Lepisosteus oculatus: one gene and its partners. The protein of the gene in region 3 binds, or shares a complex with, the protein of the main gene of each other region. Links are inferred from orthologs where the notes say so. Each region holds a gene or a part of one and is shown on either strand. Other genes may lie near its edges.

Region 1 (7,767 bases), about 38 Mb from region 3:
ACCTGAAGGAGAAGTTTGACAGTGTCATCCAGGCCCTGGACCTGTTTAAAAATGACCCCCTGATTTTCAAGCCAGGTGACAGATGACGACTGTTCTATAAAATTGGGAAGGGTTGCTGGGTGAGACAGATAAACCATATCAAGTATCTTTAGGAAATGTGGCCGTTTTCACTATAAAATTCTCTTCCTTCTGATTCACACATGCTAATTCTGCCCAAGAAATGACATGTGTCTATGTGGTTATCTAGATATGTTTTTTTTTTCTTTTTTGGAACTGCTTATTGGTCTCTCTATCTTCTAAGAGAGGCACAGGGAGAAAGGCAGGTTATTTAAGTGTCTCAAAAAAGACCATGTATGGAATATTTCATTTAGGATATCCTTTCAAGAAAAGCTTTTTTTTTAGAGAACAGCGCTCCTTGAGTCCAAAGGCTTCAAGTGGCAATTGTGCATATGCATTTTTCTTCAGCATTTCCTAAAATTACATTTTGCAACTTTAAGGGTCCTCATTTTCCTTCGCACAGTTTTCTGCAGCTGCAGTTATCAAAAATGGTAGTTACCGTGTGGGGCTGAAGCAGCGCGCTGTCTGTGTCTGCAGGCAGCTCTTTCCTGTACTCCACACACGCCTTCACTCTGCTCAGCGCGGTGGTGGAGAGGGCAGCAGGACGGCCCTTCCTGGATCACATGATGAAGATGTTCCGGGAGCTGGGCATGCTGAACACCGTGCCGGAGGAGAACGACCGCATTATATACAACCGATCGAGGTAACGGAGAGACCTGCAAAGTCAAATTTCAAAGCCTGCTGTTTAAAAAAAAAAAGTCTAAATTCTTGTGGTTTATTTTGCATGGTAAGGTTTGCTTTTTGTTGAAAATATTGCACTAATGCTGAGCACTAAGCATTCAGTGCCACACATGGTATTACATCTTTCAATTACAGCTTCAATTTCTCATTCCATTCATTTCTCACTCTAAGGTTTCCGATCACACCTGGTTTGATTTCACTACTTTGGCTTCTTATCCATAAGTTCATTTCTTTTAAAAATTAAAACTCCCAAAACCCGAACCACTGTCTATGACCAAAGGATTGTCTTCATTGAGATTCTGTCACGTTAGCGTTGATCATTTCAGTTTCCAGTCACTGGTATCTAGATGACTGAACTCTTTTAGCTGTTCTGCATCTAAACTCTAAAAGCTGTGACCCCAGGGAAACACATATGGTTAATTTGCAACTTATTTGAGATCATTTATATTTTTGTTTTTTAATATTTGCAGTCTCTTTGGGCTGACTCAGATGATCTGTTTTTGTTTATTACTTCACACTGTGTAGTGAATTGGGATGCCATCTGCATATGATTTGCATGGCACAAACTAAAATGTTGGACGTCAACAAACCCTAAAGATCTGCAATGCAAATAAAATTGCAACAGTGCTTTTTATAGTTTCACATTAAGGGAATATGTGCCTGTAAATTTTGGCAGCTGTTTACTATGCCATAATGTGGGAAAATGTCATGTTAATTGATTTCTGGGAAAACTGGCCCTGGTGTCAGTGTGTGCCCTGCGATGGACTGGCATCCTATCCAGGGTGGATCCTGTCTAGTGCCTGTTGCTCACCAGGATAGGCTCGGGCTCCCCTGCGACCATGGATTGGAAAAAGCAGTTCGAAAATCGATGGATACAAGAGTGGTGGTTAGCATAACAGCTGCAGGGTACTACAAGTTGATCCAATTCTGGTTCTCTGTGTCGGGTCCATGTACTGTCTGTTTTTCTGTTGACTTTTGCCAGGGTGCTCTGGTTTCCTCCCATCATCCAGAGACATGCAAGTTATGTTTACGTCTTATGAGTTTGTCCCCCTGAGAAAAGCAGAGGGGTTGTACTCGTTGTTAGTGACTCGGGAGCAGAGCAGCTCTGGTATGTCACTCTCCCCTGTGACTGGTCCTGTTTTTGGGACGGCTCTAAGCAAGCAGGAGAGAAAGCGTTGAAAGGCTGATTAAGGAAACCCATGTGGATGAGTATTAGATCTCATTAACTTCTCATTAAATGAGAACATTACTTGTCTTTAAGTGGGAATCTAACACCATCTGTGTTTTTTTTTCCCCTCTTTGCAGGTTTTATCATTTCAACAAAAAAGGCCGCATTGTGAACTGCCCTTATGTGGACAACTCCTACAAATGGGCAGGGGGAGGGTTCCTGTCCACTGTTGGTGACTTGCTGGTGTTTGGCAACGCCATGCTTTACAGCTACCAAATGGCGCATGTTAAGGATGGCAGAGGCCTCCTGCCGGGCTACCTCAAGCCCGAAACGGCCAAAGCCATGTGGACCCCTGTGGATGGAACTGAAGGATCCTGGGATAAGGATGGGCAGTATGCAATGGGCTGGCTGGTGGTGGAGGAGCAGCAGCAGTTTGGACAGTGCAGGAAAAGGCGGCACTATGTTTCACACACAGGGGGAGCTGTAGGGGCCAGTAGTGTGTTGTTAGTCCTGCCCTTCAACCTGGCCCAGAGCGAGGGACAGACATTGGCTCCTCCACAGGGCATCGTGGTGACTATTATCAGTAACATGCAGTCTGCCGGTCTCAACAGCACTGCCCTGAAGATCGCTCTGCAGTTCGAGAAAGCCAGGAATGCTTGAGAGAGCACAGGAGGCTGTCTTTGTGCAGCTGGTGCACCAATCATTTTGAAGTAAAAATGCTCGTATTTGAGGTCTTTTCTGTATTCGCAAGATTGGTATCTTTTGCAGTATTAAAGGAAGAAGAGGATTCAATTTTTAATGTCATTTTAAATACATCTAAAAACTGCTTTAACAGTGGAAAACACGTGGCTAAAAAAAAACATTTTATTGTTGAAAAGGCATTTTTTAAAACTTCAGCATACCTTTATGTTTAATCTGTCCGAGTCTGATCCATTAAAAAAGTTTTTTGTCCACTGACTGTTCATGTTTTACACATGCTGGGATCACAGAAGAGTCTGAATCGATGTACAGTACAGAAGAATTAGGATAGCGCCACGGTTACTGCTGCCAGCTCACAGCTCCAGGGCGGTGGATTCAATTCTAGATTGGGGTCCCTTTTTTGTGGGGTTTGCATTCTCCCTTTGTTCTCGTGGGTACTTGCTCGGTGCTCCAGTTTCCTCTCGCCTGCCAAAGACATGCTGGATAGGTCAATGGCATCTCTACATTGAACCCCCTGTGCTTGTGTGGATGCCCTTCAGCTGTCACCCTATAAAGAGTGTGTGTGTTTCTGGGACAGGCTCAGGGTGGATGTGACCCTCTCCAGGAATGCGTGGCTTTCTCTCAGTGAATAGGTGATCATTCCCATGTACAAAAACAGAGTAATGTCAGAATCTGCCTTTCCTACCTTGAATACTGACTCCCTCATTGAAAAATGTAAGCTTCTCACGACAGTTCTGTAGTAACTCCTGACATACACTAAGTTCCTAAGGAATAGAAACTATGGCCATGAAGTGTAGGACGATATTGTAGTTCCGCAAGTGCCTCTCCATGGTTATCTGCATGTGTTTTGAGTTGTGCACTGATTATAGACTTAGCCCAAAAATATTGCATTTAACTGAGCCCCAGAAATGTTAGTTTGCTGAGAGAAACATTTGACGCAGTTTCCTTGTCAGGAATGTGACCGTAGTATGAAATAATGATGAAATACCATGTTTTATGTGTAAAACTTTGACAGCTGGGGCATTCGTTTAGGAATTAAATTGACATACAATTGAAATGTATTAAAATTATTTTTAAGAAAAAGCCACATTTTTCTGGCACTCAACTTTACATTTCTAGTGTATGTTATGAGTGCCTGAGACTTAACAGATTTTCACATATTTGTCTTTTGATTGTTCTTGTACATTAATTCATCCAAGGAAATATGAATCTATGAACCATTTTACCTTCACTTATGACATCAATGTACATTTGTGTAACAAATCTACTTTGACAGCACTGCACAGAACAGAGAAAGTTGATCTAATCTTTAAAGATAACTTTTTGAATGAAATATATTTTAATTATTTTATTAGCACAACCCCAGCTCCCCATACATACTTACCAAGGCAATAATGCTGTCAGTGCACCTGCAGAGGTAAGGGAAATGCTGACTACGGTACTGTGGGTATTGCATGAGATTTAAGCTATCATTTGGTCTACATGAGAGACCTGTGGACTATAACCTCCTGTGAGGTGATCATGTGAGATTAAGATAATGAACTCCAATATAAATTACCTACATAAAGTTTGTAAATTTCAATGAAGGTATATTCGCTTTTGAATACTGATAATACCGTTGAGAAGGTTTTAACAGGGAGTAGGACTTCAGCAATATTTGTTTTGTACTCTAAAGTGATGACCACGGTTGTACACAGTAGTAAAATTACATCTCATTAGTGCACTGTACATTTATACGTGGTGGTCCTTGGTTTAAATGTAAAAATCTTTAATTTGAATTTGAATACGCAATTTCATTTTCGATCCAACGCTGTTTAGAACAAGTAAAATATTTAACATAATTATTTTTAATTTCCTTTGCAGCTTCTACAGTGTTTCCCGGTTTAATAATTTGAGAAATTGACCTGTCTACCACCTACAGTATATCTGGATCTAGATCCGTTAAAACTGCACTCCTGTTATCTTTGGGCACAGCTGTGGAGGAGATAAAATAATGTACCACTAGGCGGCAGTAAAGAAATAAAACGGAATAAAAATGGAATTGTTCACTTCCGATTGATGGTGAGTTCAGGGGTCAACATTGTTCCCTGGGGTTGTTTTAGACACTCGGAAGTGGAAGATGGATGCAAGTGGTGAATTTTCTATTTCAGCTCCAGAAAGTAAAGCTGGATATATACTTAGTAATGTGGCCGAGGTGGTGGAGAGGATTTTGACATTTGTACCGACCAAGTCACTTCTCCGTACCGCTTGGTAAGTTCAGATTCTCGTTTGCAGGACTTATTAACAGTCCCTGTAGACTTCCACTCAATGTTTTCTGCAGAACACGGAGCCTTGAGACAGCACATCGGCGATCTTGAGTTTTATTCATGAACCCGGCTATTTTTTTTAATCGAAAGATGTATGCATAAAGGAGATCAGAGAAAAGCTGCGTCTTGTGCTCTCTAAAGATGTAATGACTTAATTGTATTCAGAATCTCTTGTCTTGTTCATATCCTGTACTCGATCACGCTTGGGTTTTTGACTGCAGAGCCCTTTATATATGTAGTATGTTTGAGAGTTTCTTTGTATTTGTTTTTTTCGACATTTAAACGCAAAATACCAAGACGTCTTGCTTGTGAAAATGGGCATGTGATATATGTGATCTGGCACCGCAGGAAGTCTGCGGTTTCACTTACTTGCTGAAACATTGTAATCTGGTATTTTTGTATCTGCTTGGTACGCATTGATTAGCAGTACAGCGCATTGTCTTTACAAGCAAGCAAAAGGTTTGAAAAGACGTGATGTCTCATGCCTTTTAAGGAAAATCTGGTATTATAGATAAAAATTCCTGATGTACTCCAGCAATTGCATAATTCACCTTGAAAGTGAGCTGTTTTTACTCCCTTTCCTTGGTAACTGTAATCCTGAGGACAGTTGTCTCCTGTGATAGCTGTTTAACAGTAGAAAGCCGACCTATTTAGTGAGCATGATATTTTCACTACATCTTCCACCTTTGCTGCTTGAAAAGCACAAACAGGATTTCTCTTTAAATCCTTCAAAATCAAAAATGCTCTGGTAAACCAAATGCCTTTTGTTGTTGTTGCTGTGTTATAGAAGGACTTCTTTTGATATTTATTGTTTTGCCTTTGTGCTGCTGTCGGCTGTCCCGGTAGCGTCTGCAGACTCTGGAGGGACTGTGCCCGCAGGGTGCTGAGGACACAGCAGAAGATGACCTGGGTGTCCGGTACTGGCTCCTCCAGCTCGGATGGACATGTCTTGTTCAGGACTCTGGCAGAACAAGTAGAGGTAAGGGGACACTCCTCTGTGAGTGATCTCCCTGGCTAGCTCTGTTTTCGCAGTCACCTCCGTCCTGCACTCTTTTTTATGAACTATTTCATAAACTATTTCCCATATTAGATCACATTAACGTATAATGTCGAAGCAGGTGTTTGCAAGCAGTGTAGATTGGAAAGCAATTGCTTTGAGCTTTAAAGTCCTTTATCTGGGTTTCAGTAAAGGAATATAAATGTGCTGTTTTGCAGAATGTGTACTTGCTCCCCCGGACAGTCCTCCTGATGGCAGACAGCGACACCTTGAACAGACCTGATGGCACCTACAAGCAGAAGAAAGGTAACAGACTGGCTCATGAGGAGTCCTGCTCTGCAAGTATAATTTAAAAGTCTTGGTTTCCCGAAGGTGCTTTGATGTGAGGTTTATAATTTTTAATTAATAATTGCTTACACATCTATAGCACTTTTTTGGACACTCCACTTAAAGCGCTGTACAGGTAATGGGGATCCCCTCCACCCTCACCAGTGTGCAGCTCCACCTGGATGATGTGACAGCAGCCATAGTGCACCAGTACTCTCCCCACACACCAGCTCTCAGTGGGGAGGAGAGCAGAGTGATGAAGCCACTTCATAGATGGGGATTATTAGGAGGCCATGATTGGTGAGGGCCAATGGGAAGTTTTTTAATGACCACAGAGAGTCGGGACCTCGGTTTTACTTCTCATCTGAAGGACGGCGCCTTTTTACAGTATAGTGTCCCTGTCACTAACCTGGGGCATTAGGACCCACACAGACCTCAGGGTGAGCACACCCTACACTCCCCATTAACACCTCTTCCAGCAGCAACCTTGGTTTTTCCCAGGAGGTCTCCTATCCAGGTACTGCCCAGGCTCACACCTGCTGAGCTTCAGTGGGCTGCCAGTCGTGAGTTGAAGGATGACATGGCTGCTGGCTGTTTGGGGTTGTCATACTATTTGAAGTGTGCTTGGCTAATGAAGTCATAGAACAAAATCTAAAATGATTTTGATGCCATTGGACTCAAAGTACGTCTCAGCCAGCAGAAGTGCTCAGTTGGAGCGCAGGTTGAGCACTGTGTGCCAGGATGGCATCATGTTTAAACCTGGTGACATGACCCGTGGAGGCATGGAGGCACACAACTGCCAGAGCAGGGCAGTGCCTGGATCCTCACGATTCCCAGTGCCTCCGCAGCTCCTGTGACCAGCTCGAGCCTGGCAGGCCTGCAGTGAGTCAATAAAAGAGCCGGCCCTCCCGGTCCTCCTGCACCAGGCCAGAAGCATGCGCCCATCAGAGGAGTGTGTCTCCAGACAGGAGGTGCTCCCCATGTGGACACAGGGTTTATTGCAAGAGAACTGCGCCTTAAAACAGGTGCTGATTCAAAAATAGGTAGGCACACAACAACAACAAAAAAAGTCAATGCAAAATTGAATTAAAAAAAAAGGACATTTTAAATACCCTTGAGCGAAATGTAAATGTAAAACAGACAATGGAGAAGTCATGGTAGATTTCTTCTGCTGTTTCACCTTAGCTGTAGTGTTGTGTGGACACAGACGTAATGTTGCATGAATAGCAGAACTCAGATTCATTAGAATATCCCACTGTTTCTGCAGGTTTAATTTTGTGGGCATACATAAATTACTCCACTGGCCGAAACTCTTTGAAAATGTGTATAATACGAAACCTAGGAATTATGTCTAATATTTCTGGTAATTAATATTGAGCGAGTCTCATTTAACATAATTTTATGTTATCAGATGATGTCTCTTAAATTTTCAATTTAAACTTTTTTTTTTTGTTTTTAGTGTATTGCGAACC
Region 2 (8,036 bases), on a different chromosome or scaffold from region 3:
GCCGCCCGCCCCGTTCTCGGCCGCCTCCTGGAAGGCGCGCCGCGCCTGCTTGCAGGGGGCGCCCCTCTGCGCCCCCGGCGGGCACTTGCGCTTGCAGACCATCTCGGAGTAGTCGCCGGCGGAGACGGTGCGGAAGAGCTTGGCGGGGACGCCCGACAGCAGGCTCTTGCCTTGCTCCTCCCACAGGGCGAGCTCCTTCGGGGACAGGAGGAAGCGGGCGCAGTCCTCGGGGGAGCCGAGCGCGGCGTACCTCTCGGCGAGCTTGGAGGCGCTCTCGAGCTGGTCCTCGGCAAGGCTGCTGGGGTTGTGGACGATGAAGCACAGCATGCACGGCCCGTGCAGAAAGCAGTTCCTCCGCAGCTTCCTCTTCTTCTTCTTCACGCGCTTGCCATTTTTAGAGAGAAGATGGCCCATATAGATGACTCAGGGTGCCTCTGTGGAAAAGCCCAGTGGGGGGGGGGAACACACTCTCAGATAAAAGGCAAGGTAAGGCTGTGGCTCGCTTACAGCCAAGATGGGTGTTGGGGAGAAAATCGGAATCAAAATCCGCTTTATTGTCTACAGACAGCCGACATTTTCCTTTGGCCTTGCACATGCCTTACAGGAAACCTCCAACGGACTTTATAAGATGTATACAATCAATGCAACTTCAATCATACAATGCAGTAGAAAAAGTACAAAAAACACAAGACGCTGTCAATACAAGCACTCTGAAGGGGCTCGCTCATTCATCACAGCTTGAGTAATTGGGACTCGGAATGAGCAGCCTAAAATGTCGACCAGATGGCAAATCAAAAATCAAGCCGTGCAAACATTGCTCGTTTTGTATATCTACACAAACTGTGTGATATCACAAACAGGACTGCTTACACTCAGGCTACTAACATTACAAACACCTGTTGACTATGATTCAACGTGTTCCACATGACAACTTTGCCATGATGTTGAAGCTTCTTTCAAGAAACGGCTGGATGAGATGCCCTCGGATCGATTAGCTACTGGCTGTCAAGCAGGCCAGAGGGGTTAAACAGCCTCCTCTTCTTTTAAACCGTTTTTATGTTCTTAAAGCACTGCTCCAATCCTGTTCCTGTAAGATGATGTTAATTATTTTCTATTTTTCTATTTCTATTTTGGAAGGGAATTACATTCTTAATTCCCCAGGCCTTGGCTGACCAGCCTTTCTGTTATTCCGATTCAAGAGGCAACACAACTGTGTTGTCAATCATTTAAGAGCCAAGTGTTGTTTCCATTAGGCTATCTAGGACAACAGCAGTGAGCTTTGCTTTCCACCCACCGATGTGATGTGCTGTGATGTGAAACAGCAATCTGAGTACTCTCAAAGTACTTTCACACACATACAGGCAAAGACCTTTGTATCATCTGAGCTTAGTCTGATAAGGTTTAATAGACAGTGACACCTCACTGCAGAAAACTATTTTCCCTTTCCCTACCTTTTAGAGGGGATCCTGACTGGGAGACATTCACTCATAATCCCACAGATGGCAGCTTCGCATCATTGGCTCCTCAGCCAAGTTATGGATGACAATAACTACACGTGCATTTTATCTCCAGTGAACATGGCCCTAAATGCTAAGCTGCTCTGTTAGGATCCACTGTCCTTTGAATTGATGTGCTCCAATTCATTATGCTTAGTGTAAAAAAAGGTGCATATTCACTTTCAACAATGAATCAATAATATTGGAAGCCTTCCACAGAAACACTGAAGGAAGAAAGGAATATGTGCATTTTTCTAACAAACGCACCACTGATGTCTGAACAGTATACAGTAGTTCATGGCGATCAAAGACAGCAGGTGAGGTGATCAAGCCTAGAAAGCAGTTTTTGGTGCTATGGGTGTTATTCAGAAACCTACCTGAATGCTAAACTAGTAACCTTAAATGTGCTGAAAAATGAGACTGGACAGATCAAGCGCATTTACTGCCTTGAGTTTTATGGTCGCTGTTCATTCAAAACTACAGGAAAAGGCTAACAAAAATCACATTCCAAAAACTGTTGTATCTTTTTTGCACGAAATCTGAATTTGTTGGAGACAAAGCAACATATTAAATTAACTTTGGAATCATTGCGTTTATTACCACAAGTGCAGTAGTAGAACTGCCTTTATAAAATCATACATCAAAAATCTTGGAAATATTTTAAGGCTTCAAATGTGCTTGTTCGGTAGTTCTACACACCACACAGTTTGGGACGGGATTTTGAAGAGCGTTATTGGTTTCAACTGATCTCTTGTATACACATCTTGAAAACTGCCTAAATAGTACTGTTCAGGCATCCTGGTACTATGCAATTTTCAGCATTTAGTGTTGCAGGTACCAGATGTTCGTCTAATAAAATAACTATAGTTTTATCATCGATGCCTTGCATAAATCATAACCAAATTTATTATTTTACTTCTTCCTAGAACTGATCACACACCATTATTCAAAATACATGAGCCGTGGGCTCCACACTATATTATGCAGCGAGCTGCTTTTAAATTAACAGGGGTATTGCCAGCAATGACCTGACATGTACTTGTTTTAGTACAATTTTTATTCACACCGTAAGTACTGGGCCTTCCTCGAAACTCAGCAAAAATAATCATTATTTTGCCTTCACCTCGAGAAGCTGAATTCGTGCATGACAAAAATGATTTAGACATCTCGGAACACGAGAACAGGCTTGAAAGGCAAGGTCGTTAAGTGTTTTTTGTAAGTTTTTAAAAATATATATAGCAATACAACACATTCAGCTGGCAATGTCTAACCTGTAAGAAAAAAAAAACAACTTTCTAACTGAATTTGATGAGAAGGAACAGTTCGTCTTACTTACAGCAACGTTTTCTCAACCAGTTCACACAATTCCAGTCGCCTTCAACCCGTGCATTCATAATCCACGTATAAAACACCACCAACAGCTCGACAGACTTAAAATATTGCAGACACAACGCTATGTACGAACGTGTACACACATCATATATATGTTATTGCTCTCTGTGGAAAGTGTTCCGGAATAAGCACAAGAAAGGAAATCCTGCCCCCTGCTTAAAGAGTGATTGGAAAATTCCCTGTTCCTCACTCACGAGTACTGCCTCTTTCCTTGCTTTTTAATTGGAGGACTTCCCTGTCAGTCAAGCCAGGGCTTCACAGACTGCATGTTCACCTTGTCCGTCAAGTTGGTGATGCCCGCCTCCGTGCATAGCAACAACGACACTGTATCGCTAAGATAAAACACACATAAGAAATAGGTTTCATGGTTTGAAGGGGTAGGAAGGGAGGGAGGTCTTCTGTCATACTCACTATAACTGCTACCGTTCACGTTTTATTTGTTAAGAAAGAAGTTGCCTAAGGAAATTCGTCTAATACACGGTAGATTAAATAATCAGTGGCGTATCATTTGGAATAAAAGCAACTCACAAATATCAGAAATGCTGATTATTTTCCAGCATATGCGTACTTTTCATTATCATACACTTTAGCCTGGCACTGCGTGTCAAATTAATAAAGAATTCGTGGTAACCTTTATGCTAGATGTCTGCCAACCAATTAGAAACGTTGGGAACACAAGCCTGACTACTGTATGTAAAGACATAATTGTTTTTACATAGAAAATTATATCGATTCCATTCAAAATATTGCTTTTCAGCTTTAATGTATGCTTTTATGACAACAATTATTTATTTTAAAATACTTAAAATAAATGAACATGCTAACACAATTGAAGATAAATACAGAGACTGGACAAGGGCTGCAGAATATCCAATTTTGCTCTGATTTTTATTGAATTTCGATTTTCTTTTTAAATAAAGGAATGAGAAATCGGTCCTTCTTCAGAAACATGTCGCTAACTGTTCGGTCTGCAGACCGATAATTGAAAGCATTGTCTGTGAAGTGTTGTCGATTCCACGCACTGTTTTATTTTTGGTACTATATTACTATCATATTTAGTAGTTGCAAACAACAGCGCGCTGTCATAAAAATGCACAAAATGCAATACGCCAAATTGTCGCTAGGCGTCATAAAAAGGCTACTGAAATAGCATGAGATATACGGTATATTTTACAACTATAAGGCTTAATATTTTTCAGTGTTCTGTTGCTGCATATCATTAGTGATTTATCTTAAGTCGACAATAACTCGGTTTTTGTCAATTAACCAGTTATTTGTAGCAGGAGCGATGAAACCCCTTTACCAAATGCGGTTCTTCACAGGGCCGCACAGACGCATAGAGATCGGAAGGAAAAGCTTAAGAAAGTAAAATGAAATAATCGAGATGCAGTAAACATTTATCAGTAGTCCATAGGGGCATGTATTAATTCTGTTTCCAGATGTGCGTTATTTCTCCATGAACTCGGTTACTTCACTGCACATGAACTTGTTAATTTTGTGGGAGTGGTTTCTGAGTTTTTGGACACTTTGCAAAGCAAGCCCAAAATAGCTCGGACAAGACTTGAGGGAAAAAAAGTTGTACTGTAAATGGATTGAGATGGCTGCAGATCTTCCCGTCACACAACAAATCGCCAGAGCCCAGCAAGGCCACCAGAAAAACCCGGTTAATATTCCGATCTCAGAGGTTGAAGATTGTTTTGTTTACAACCGGCACGGGAAACGGATTCCTTTTAAAAGTTTATATGACGACAAGAAATCAATCGTTATTTTCGTTAGGGTAAGAAGCTTTTTTCTGCTACCAGTTCCGATGCTGTAAAAGCCCTGTTTTAATACCGAAGTATTCAAACGTTTCAATACAAGCATTAGAGATCCGATTTAAAGGAAATCTGCCTTACGAGTGAGAAGGATAGTGCTGATACATTAAACCAGAGGTGTTTTATTAAAATGCAGGTATTATATACGTATATTTTTAAATGATTGCATTGGAAGCAGTATCCGAAATGGCACCCTTTTCTCGTGTTGGTATACTTTCATTTCGATTGTGAACTCTTGTTAACTGAAGTAAAATAGTTCGTCGTGGATTTTGCATCTAAAATATAAATAGCCTATGTTCAATTGTTTCTAATTGTTTCAAATTAAATATTTGACTTTTGAATTTATAGCATTTTTTGTGTTACACATGCAAAGAGTATGTGGAAGATCTGGCCAAAATACCTAAGAGGTTCCTCACAGTAAGTAGTAGAATTATTACATTTTTAAAAGTTATTTAAATTTATTTTGATTATTTTCCATTATTTGAAATGTGAATGGTAATTACCAGCAAACAACAAAAATGCCTTATTACAAGGCACATCTCATAAAAGAGCTTAGATTTCTGGGAATAAAAAAGCAAAGGTTATTTTTTCACTTGTTGTTAGTACAGTATATTTCAGCTCTCAGGAGCCAGAAGTTCACTTTAATGAATAGCCCACCTGCTTCATTCATCAATATCTTTACAGCTGTTGGCAATCTTTTGAAAACAGATGACCTGTAAGAATAACTGGATTGGGGCTTTGCACAGGCCGGGCTGGGGGTTCAGACCCTCAAAATCGTAAAAATAATTTTCTAGAGGAAATTCTAAATATTAAAAGATTTAACCGTGTGACAATATATGTCCAAAGCATAGAGTTGCATTTAAATCCTAAATTCCCAGAGTTTCTGCTCCTTTTCAGTAGAAAATATATAGTTCTGTGGAGAATATCATGGTTAAACTCATATTTATTTCAACAACAGGATGCTGATGTCAGGTTGATAGTAATTGGACAGTCTTCACACCATCACATTGAGGTATGTGTGTTCCAAAAGATGAGATAGGTCAGTTACATTACAACATTGTATTAATTTATGATTAACACAGTGCTATACAAATTGGTGGCATTCAGTACCCTACTGTGACCTGTTTTCTAAACATAACGTGAAATGTCCTCTCTTGTTCACTAATGTCATAATCAGACCTTCTGCAATGTTATACCCTTCCTTGCTACCAGAAAGTTGTTAACAAGGCCACCACAGATTTGCAGTTCATCTGAAACATCAAGTACATGTTCTCCTTTAGAAAATGCTAGACGTGTCTGTGTATTTTTATGCATCACTCTTACTTATATTACATATGGGTCATACATACAGGCGTTCTGCGCACTGACAGGCTATCCACATGAAATATATGTTGATCCAGAAAGGCAAATTTATAAAAAACTTGGAATGAAGAAAGGGGAGGTGTTCACAGAGTCAGGTAATTTTCTTTTTTTTAATTTTGAGATTATATACAGTATCTTCCAGATACGTGCAAATAACAAATGAAGGATTTAGATGACTTTCAGTACTGTAGAAGTTAAAGAGGGAGCTGTGTTGGTGTGTGAGTTGCAAAGTGACAAGCAGGGGTTGATTTCACACTGAAAATTAAAAAGAAAGGAGGAAAAAAAACGTTTCAGCTACAGAGACCACACACCCGAACAAGACTCCAAAGCCTTTTTTCTGCTTTTCTGTATGGATTTAACCTTTCCTTTTTTAATAATATGTGTATAAATAGAACATCCATCAATAAAATTGCAAATAACTAATGCAGAAATGTTTGAATTCCCTGGTGAGGAGTATTTCTCTATCCCTCTTTTGGCTCTGATGACTGGATTCTTCAACCTTTCAGCCTCTTGACCAGAGCTGAGCCTCTTCAGCTTCTCCACCTTGTGCAGTCTGTACTTGTGATCTGCTTTCCTCAGATCATATCATAAGTGTCCTGCTAGAGTCTGCAATGACACATCATGACCTATCATTTGGTTTTTGCGCTCTCGTGACCATCTGGTCATTAAGTGTGGTGCAGACTTCGAAGTGGTATCCCTCTGTAAAGTCAATTTGAGACCACACTTAAGTTTCTTGACAGACGGCACACACTGTTGGCTGAAATACGCTAGTAAACCTTGGACTCCACCTGCCCCTCCATTCTGAGCAGCGTATCTGGACCAGACAATAGAAAACAGCCCTAAAGCAGGACAGGTCCACTTATCTCCTTTACAGAGGGCAGGACATTTGTTTTTCAATGTGAGAAAGAAACATTTTTCACGTTTCAGATGCTGCTTGTACTGCTGGCGAGCCTATCCACAATCTCAATTTGTGTTTCATCCAACCACGGGATTTGATATAATTTGGTTCTGGGGAGTCAATAAGTTTCTTTTCAGCAAGTTCATATCTCAGCTTTTTAAGATGGTCTGTTAACTTTGCAGTATACATCAGATTACTGAAATCGCCCTGCTGCCAGCATTTTAGGAAGATTCACAGTTATTTGGTACTGGTTAGCCTCCTTTTCTTAATGCCCTCTTCTTCATGAGGTAGTGATCATCTCATTATTGAACCTTTCACCAATGGACGCCTCCGTCAAAATTGAAATGTCTTTTGTATTTTTTAGTCATTACTAGAGCTGAAGGAAAATGCATGAGAGAGAAGCTACTGCTTATAGAGGTTGAATATAATGTAATTGGAATCCCAGAATTATGGCTAAAAGAGACTGATGATGACCAATACAACATTAGTTGATCCACAGATTTCCAGAGAGATGGGAACAATGGAAGATAAGGAGGTGTAGCAATGCACAGTACTGTACATCAAAAAGAGCATTCAGGCACAGGATATTAACTTAGAGGAATCAAGGGTTTCTGAACCAGTATGGATCAGGCTTATAAAAACATTCAAAATGTACAATGTTAGAAGTATGCTACAGACCACAACATTTAGACATTGATTCGAAGGTAACATTATTTAAATGAAGTCAGCAATGCATTTGTAAAGGAAGAAGTAGTCTTTATGAGAGACTTTTTCACATAGTCACAATGTCTTGGGAAAACCAACTGCAGAAGTAGTGAAATATTTTAAATGGCTACTCACTGCGTCCTTACATGGTTTGACACAGCACCTATAAAAGGGAATGCCCATATTTGTCTACAAGATAGCATGTAGAAAACAGGTGTGAGAATCATTAGGAACTGTTATGATAGCACAGTGTACTGTCAAGTTTATTGCGAAACTACAGGTAGAGTCCAGGACACAAAAGAGAGGTAATATTCACCATCCATGAACAAAAATTTACTTATAAATTACCTGCGAATTGCTAATTTATTG
Region 3 (6,965 bases):
TTAAAAATCAAAATCCAGTATGTTTTTGGACTTTGGGAGGAAACCAGATCACTGGGAGGAAACCTACACAAACATGGGGAGAACATGCATACTCCACCCAGATAGTACCCAAGGTCTAGAATTGAACCCAGGGTCCCAGCGCCGCAAGCCTGCGAGGCAGCAATAACAAATGTGCCAGTCGGGTTTAACCTAAATAAAATCATAAAATATCCACAACAGCTGGTAGAAAATGGCAGGGTCTGGTATTCATTTTAAAATCTCAATGTAATGACTTAATTGATTTAAGTGAGCTCACTATTTGGATAGGATCAGACAGTCAACCTACTTGTAAGATCACCAGTGAACTGATGCTTCGTTGGGTTTCATTTGCTAAACGTTATCTAAAAGTACAATCTTCAAGACTCAGGTCCTTGAGGACAGGGTTCCTATTCTCTGACAGTCATTACAATGTTAATTCCAAATGTACGGTCAACTGACTGATTCCTATGACTCCTGGCAGAGCTTTCTCTTTAGGGCTGTCTTGGTATCAGTTTGCTGAGGTGCACTTACTGTATCCTCAAGGAATTATGTTGTTGATAACATCTGACATTTTAAGACAAATAAATTGTGGTGCTCTGCACAAACATCTTAAAATGAACATTTCTGTTTATTTTAGTGATGTTTACACTATTCAGCGTTGCTCAGTTTTAATGTTATGACATATTTATATACTCAGTTGTACACAAGCCTCCATTCATTCACTATCTAAGCTACTGGATGGAGTGTACACACCACACACTATTACTAAGACCAGCTGAGAGCCAACCTATTATATGAATGGGGTGTAGTTGGACTGCAGATAGTTCAAGTTCCATGAGACCTCCTGTTCAACCTTTTCTTACTGGTCTCAAAGGACCATATGATTACTCAATAGGGATTCCTGATATCACTATATACTTTTACATTAATTTTAATTTAGAGATTATTTAAGTTCAAATGCCTTGTTTTTAATCTTGTGTTGTTGTTTTTTTAATTATCCTTTATACAAGCAGAAGAGTACAATGCTGTCAATTTCATACTTTCAATGATTGTTACACTATGAAATGAGGAGCTTAGTGTATTGAACTGAAGAATTCTTTTTTTAAAATCACAGAAAAGGAAACATACTTGCTTTGTTTCCTCTGTACTAATAATTCTTCCTGATATTTGAGAGACAAATGAACAGTTGATCTGTTTCTGTCCTTACCCCTGTGACTGTGTTATGTGTAATGTACTGTACAAAATGTAACACTTTTGCCCAAAACATCGACTTACTTTTACACAATCCGGGAAAATTTATTTCACAATTCAGCCAATAACTCCGAAACAACCATCAGCTGATCGTGGTTTCTCCAGGAAGCTGCATGGATGACAGCATTGGCGGTGACCTTCAGTTTGGGCACTGCCCCTTAAGGAGAACATCTGCTTGATAAATATGGATATAGGTTCAATCAAAAATTACAATCACACATCGCAAATATAAAAGCACAAGATGTATCCTGCAAGAGGAATGCTATTTTACTATTTATTAACTTAGGCTTAACTTGGCTAATGATTTTATCCAAAACAACTTACATTTGTATCCATTTATATAACTGTATATTTTCTTAGAGCAAATATGGGGGAGGTACCTTGCTCAATGTTACTACTGCAGCGTCTCATCTGAAGTTTGTACCCACATACCTCCAGTTAAAAGTCCAGAACCCTAACTACTGCTCTATCCTGCTTCCAATGTTAATAAAAAAGTATAAAAAGATACAGAAATTAATGTTGTTGCCTGCGCAAACTATGAAATTAAATTTGACCAGGACATGAAATACTGGGAACCTCACAGTGGCGCACTGTGCATTGCTGCCTCACAACACTGGGGACTTGGGCTCAATTTCTGGGGTGCTGTCTGTGTAGTTTGAATTTTCTCTCAGTGTTTTCTTCTGTTTTCGTCAAGTTCCAGTTTCCTCCTACAGTCCAAAGACATACTAGTAGGCTAATTTCCTTTTGGGAAAATAGGCCATGATGTGAGTATGACTATGTTTGTGTCTGTGTGTGTTCTTTGACAGCCAGGCAACCCATCCAGGGTGTATCCTTGTGTCCACTGCTTGCTGGAATAGGCTCTGACTTCCCCACAACCCTGTGCTGGATAAAATGGTTACAAAATGAATGCATGACAACACCACAAGATCTCTGTAAGATCTTTTTAACACATTAGTTTAAAGACAAGAGCCTAGGACATTAACAGTCCCAGCAAATAAAAAAATACACATCTCCCAGAACTACAGCTTTTTCAAAACAGAAGTCAAATGTGTAAGCAGCAAAACTGTAAAGGAATCTCCTAGGAATGTCTTCTACAGTTTTGCTTTTCTAAGGCAATCAACTTAATAACCACTCTTGTCTTTAGTCTCATAATCACAAAGCATGGTTTTCTGCGACAAAATTAGTTCTTAGAGTCTATCTTAAAACCAAGCGAACCAAGAAAACAGATAAAACACTAGATGCTGCTGCTTTTAACATCTGTAGTACCTCAAAAGCAGTATTGCCTAAAGTTCAAGATAATAAGAATTATCTTGAAATGTCTAGCAAAATGTTCACAGAAAAATAACTTACATTTCTGCGTGGACACACCTCGATATATCTCATAGATAGCTGGTTGAGCAGGTCCTTTCAAACAATCGCTCCTTGTATACAAAAAAATCTCATTTTTTATTTTATTGTGAACAACTGTAAGTCACTTTTCTGATAGATAATCAAAAATAAGTAAAATCTGTCATAGTTCACAAAATGTTAGAGCATAAAACACTATTGGAAGAATGAGTAGGTACAATTCAACACAAAACACAAATTTAATGCACATAAAGCAAAAAGACAAAGTTACATTCAAATGAACACTTTAAGGTCAATGTAGAGTGAAATTAGCATTTTTTTTCTTTCAAACCCACATTATATCACATCTGTCAACGTCCGCCTCCATTTATAACTTTCAAATTCAGTTAGAATGTGCCAAATTATTGGAAGCCAGAGATTCTTAATAACACTTATTTGTCACAGTCAAGTTACTTTTAATCTCACCTAATGTACAACTGGATCTTCAAATCAGACTATTAATTGGCTCCTTATATCTGCACCCATTCAGTACAAAACTCTTGTTCTTAGTTGCTCCTACCTCCAAGACATTTTTTAAATGCTGGATTATTCGTCTCTTTTCATTCATTTCTAACGTCGTCCTTCCCTTCATTCTTCTGACTCTAAAATTGTTTCTCACATTTCTAAGCGGAGGTTGCTGCCCTAATCAACCCAATGGCCTTCCTAAGAACCAACAATGAAGCAAAACTAGAGGACACGTGATAATCAAGAATAAACATTTAAGACAAAAAAGAACTAAAAGTTTTAACAGTGTGGTTGTAGTCTAGTACCTTTCTACATGGTTTTGACCAGGAACATTTAGAAATAGAAGATTTTGAATTTTATAAAACTTGCAAGTCTCAGAAAGGTTTTAGTTTATAGCGTTTTTAAAAACGTTTATAATTACTGACACACGTTTAATACCCGAAATACCTGTACGGAGGTTGTTCCTAAGGTGCTTTGAATACGATGTGTTTAAACCCCCGAGTCCATGTTTAGGTAGTATTTTTATTATCATGCATTACTTTAATTTTTTCGTGTTCTCACTCAGTGCAAAGCACTTTTGATTTCTGTCGCTCTGCGACCGTCCCTTGATAGGAAACTGATCGTGCCAGCCTTCTCTGAAAATGTAAAGAAAAAAAAAGGACTCTGAAAGTAAACCCACAAAGCCACCCAGTTGAAGCTTATCAGTGCCTGAAACCGGAAGTGAGGGTTTATAAAAATACACGAAGCTGGCAGCCATTTCGGCCAATAGCAGGAAAGAGCTGCACGTTAGAGGGCGGGACGAGGACGCCCTGGGTTAAAGTCACATGATCGCAGCCCGAGCGAAGGGCTTGCAGTCAGGCAGGGTTCTAATGGGGCTAGGTAGTAGGAGGATGTTTACTGCCACAGCACGGGGCTCCTTGGTAAAAGTCCGAATCGATTCTTGCTGAGGAGATGTGACAGGTTAGTAAGACTCTTTTGGCATTCTCTCGCATGTCAGGGTTAATGTAAACAGGGATCGAAGCGCTCGGTGCCACGGAGTGTCTTGCGATGTGTTGTGGTGGTACGGAGGAACTTTGCAGTTGTCGGGCTGGGAGGGGGCATTTGGGAGAATCCCAGCCTTTAAAGTTTCGGTAGGCCCAGCAAATGTCACGGTGAAATCTGTAGCTGTGCACGCCAAGATGTGTATTTGGTAAGGCTAATTTGGATTTTGTCGTGAGTGACAAGCTAAATTTGTGTCTTTTCCTGCAGTGGTAGTTTATGGTTGTTAAGAAATTCCTTACTCGGGCAAAGAGGATGATAGTAGTAGAGACTTATTACGGTAGGAACACATGTGATATTTAGCTGGTGCCATTACTATTCGTTACAAAATGACCTGTGTGTTTCGTGCTAACTGGACATCTACGAGAAATCATTTAAACAAAACAAAAACGTGGACGATCGTAGTGGTCTGTTTGGTCTGTGGTTAGTAAAGTCTGCCATCTCAGGATAACTATCTTCCTGTTTATTTCACGTCCCACTTTTCTTGTGTAACAGGGTTTCATCATCGAGAGGGGGATCAGAGTGTACACACTGATACAGCATGGCTAACCGTGGCATCTTAAACTATTCGCCTCAGCTAACGTTTCTGGATTACAGAAACCCGAAAATATACGGTGAAGGGTGTCGTGTGCCAAGCAGTTTAAACAAATCCGGGATTCGCGTTGGGATGCGGGGAAAAATACTTTGTTTCTCTCTTACAAGTCACGATTTAGAGTATCTTCTTCCGCACGAGTTCAGTTGGAGAATATGATGTGGCATTACATATCTGGAAAGACGTTACGCAAACCATAGATAAAATACGGGTTGTATAAAAGCAAACAGAGCAGGTTTCTCTTCCTCTTTTTCAAACCGCTTAAAAAAATAATATCCAAGGAAATATACATGAGCTGCAAGAAAAAGGCTACCATGAAATACGAAAACGCGAAGCTTGGGGCTGAAGGGCTAGCCTTTCTAGACACTGTGTAGATTATTATTTTAGTACCTGCACCGTTCACCAGATGACATGATGCATATTTTAACAGTGGAAACCAGTCTCCGACATTTGTTTACATGCTCAAAAAAAGAAAAATACATCACCCTTTTCAGATACCTTCATCATACACTTAGCAGTTACAGCGACTAGACTACTATTGTCTCGTAATAATATATCAACGAATGCTGCCTCGGTTAGGTAACGAAGTTGTTTGCGGGAACTAATGAACGGAGAAGCAGGAAAATGCTTGTTCATCCTTTATCAGCAGAAGCGAGTGAGTCAGCACGCTGTTGCTTAACCACACTGCATGACTTGACATCGCTCAGCTGTAGTTGCGCCAAGCTGCAACCTGCTTCATTTAATGAAGCGTTGATCTTATTTTAGGTTTTAAATCGCATTGGCTTAGTAGTAGATATGCATATTATTTTAAATGATTTATACTAGGTCTTACGTTGTTTTAAAGTTGTAAATATTTTTTTTCTCATCTATTTTTGAAATATCAAAATTCACACATCCACCCATTTTTTTTACCACTTCATCAAATTCAGGTTCAAGGGGGAGACGGAGCCTATCCTGACAAGGAGTATGCACACCCTAGCCGGGACTCCAGTCCATTACAGGACATGTATACTCATTCCCATAAGCCAGTTAACCTGCCAGTATCTTTTCGGACTATGGGAGGAAACCAGATCATCCAGAGGAAACCCACACAACATACAAACTGTTCAGATAGCACCCCTGGTCCGGAACTGAATCCAGGGCCCCAGCGCCGTGAGGCACTAGTCCAAAACACTATGCCCATAATTCACACATTTGCTTTCACGCATAGAACAACACTGACCTCCTTGATAAGATGGAATACAGACGTGCAGATGTTTTCTTTCACACTGTATAATACAATCAAATCTACCAAAACTGAGCCACAGAAAGATGTGTATCAGAGATGAAATACAAAACCTTTCTAGTTGCAAGTCTTGAGGTCTGCCTGTCATGACTGCATCTCAGACTGATACAGGATCTGTCTGCCTCAGGAACAGCTAGACAGACTGGCTTCTCAAAGTCTGGTGTAGATTAAGGGAAGGCAGTTGGATCTGTAGAATTTTACATTTACACTCTGATGTGTGGCTCTGGAAGTATTTTATGGTTTTGTGTTGTATTGTGTACATGGAGGTGACGCTGTAATTGGGCAAAGCTGAATAGTTTTTTATAGTAGTGGCAAGTCCTCTGAAAGCAAGCAGTGTAACACACTAGCTGGCATAAATCCTTTAACTCTGAACTAAATCATCCAAACTGACTGCAGTGACTGCTTGTAGTTGTGGTCTTTTTTTGGAAGGTACAACACCTGATCCATTTTCAGATTAGTTATATTTTTTCTGAAGTGGGCAGTGACAGCTTCCGCATTATTCCTTGAGTAAGGGAGGTGATTGAACCCTAGGGTCACAGACACACCTCCAGAGGCTTGGTGCTGGCAGTTGAAATGAGCTCCATACCTCCACTACACCCATGAACCGGGTGCAGGGGACAGCCTTGAAAGACCTGGCATTTTCTTTTGAGATACTTGTTGCATTTTAGCACCCACAAAGAGCAAATCCAATTGAATGCGTAGTGCACCCATGTAGAAATCTCCAACGTTTGATAGCCGCACTTCAAAAAAACCTTTCACTACAACATTGTGCAACTCAGACAGAATTTTGAAGTTTGACTGCGACAATGTTTTGCATTTTCTTGCAGTTGTACCGCACAATGACTTTCGAGAGCATAAGGACGTCGACCTTCAGTTACCAGTCCTCGATACACAGCTCGCACGTCCTTCTGTGCCTTAACGAGCAGAGAC

What was found.
Region 1: the proteins of bach1b (region 3) and fbxo22 are in contact, whole or in part, in a cryo-EM structure (PDB 8S7D), measured with the Homo sapiens proteins. The link is inferred for Lepisosteus oculatus from reciprocal best matches to the Homo sapiens genes BACH1 and FBXO22. Residues at the interface, in NP_001177.1 of Homo sapiens: Ser7, Val8, Phe9, Ala10, Tyr11, Glu12, Ser13, Ser14, Val15; in NP_671717.1 of Homo sapiens: Asp366, Gly371, Asn372, Phe373, Ile374, Leu375, Arg376, Lys377, Cys378.
Region 2: the proteins of bach1b (region 3) and fbxl17 are in contact, whole or in part, in a cryo-EM structure (PDB 8UAH), measured with the Homo sapiens proteins. The link is inferred for Lepisosteus oculatus from reciprocal best matches to the Homo sapiens genes BACH1 and FBXL17. Residues at the interface, in NP_001177.1 of Homo sapiens: Val20, Leu21, Ser23, Leu24, Gln27, Val32, Leu33, Asp35, Phe39, His48, Arg49, Ser50, Val51, Ala53, Ala54, Cys55, Ser56, Ser57, His60, Ser61, Arg62, Val64, Asn72, Thr74, Pro76, His116, Asn117; in NP_001156787.2 of Homo sapiens: Asp395, Arg421, Asn447, Gln473, Gln498, Glu499, Met524, Arg548, Cys574, Leu575, Tyr598, Val600, Ser601, Asp623, Trp626, Met651, Arg652, Val676, Gln678, Asp679, Cys680, Arg682, Thr683, Glu685, Gln689, Trp692.

What each region holds. Positions count from the first base shown.
Region 1 is NC_090700.1:57,539,955-57,547,721, reverse strand, and holds the start of fbxo22 (F-box only protein 22), read left to right. Parts: upstream 1-4,704; 5' UTR 4,705-4,784; coding exon 4,785-4,915; intron 4,916-5,817; coding exon 5,818-5,950; intron 5,951-6,186; coding exon 6,187-6,274; intron 6,275-7,767. Other genes in the region: lactb (serine beta-lactamase-like protein LACTB, mitochondrial), read left to right, coding at 1-75, 595-760, 2,104-2,626. UniProt on the Homo sapiens protein: Substrate-recognition component of the SCF (SKP1-CUL1-F-box protein)-type E3 ubiquitin ligase complex that is implicated in the control of various cellular processes such as cell cycle control, transcriptional regulation, DNA damage repair, and apoptosis.
Region 2 is NC_090698.1:57,058,795-57,066,830, forward strand, and holds the start of fbxl17 (F-box/LRR-repeat protein 17), read right to left. Parts: upstream 3,042-8,036; 5' UTR 2,833-3,041; intron 435-2,832; 5' UTR 415-434; coding exon 1-414. Other genes in the region: prxl2c (peroxiredoxin-like 2C), read left to right, coding at 4,486-4,665, 5,051-5,119, 5,661-5,714, 6,054-6,159. UniProt on the Homo sapiens protein: Substrate-recognition component of the SCF(FBXL17) E3 ubiquitin ligase complex, a key component of a quality control pathway required to ensure functional dimerization of BTB domain-containing proteins (dimerization quality control, DQC).
Region 3 is NC_090700.1:19,451,414-19,458,378, forward strand, and holds the start of bach1b (transcription regulator protein BACH1b), read left to right. Parts: upstream 1-3,952; 5' UTR 3,953-4,080; intron 4,081-6,862; 5' UTR 6,863-6,874; coding exon 6,875-6,965. UniProt on the Homo sapiens protein: Transcriptional regulator that acts as a repressor or activator, depending on the context. Binds to NF-E2 DNA binding sites. Plays important roles in coordinating transcription activation and repression by MAFK.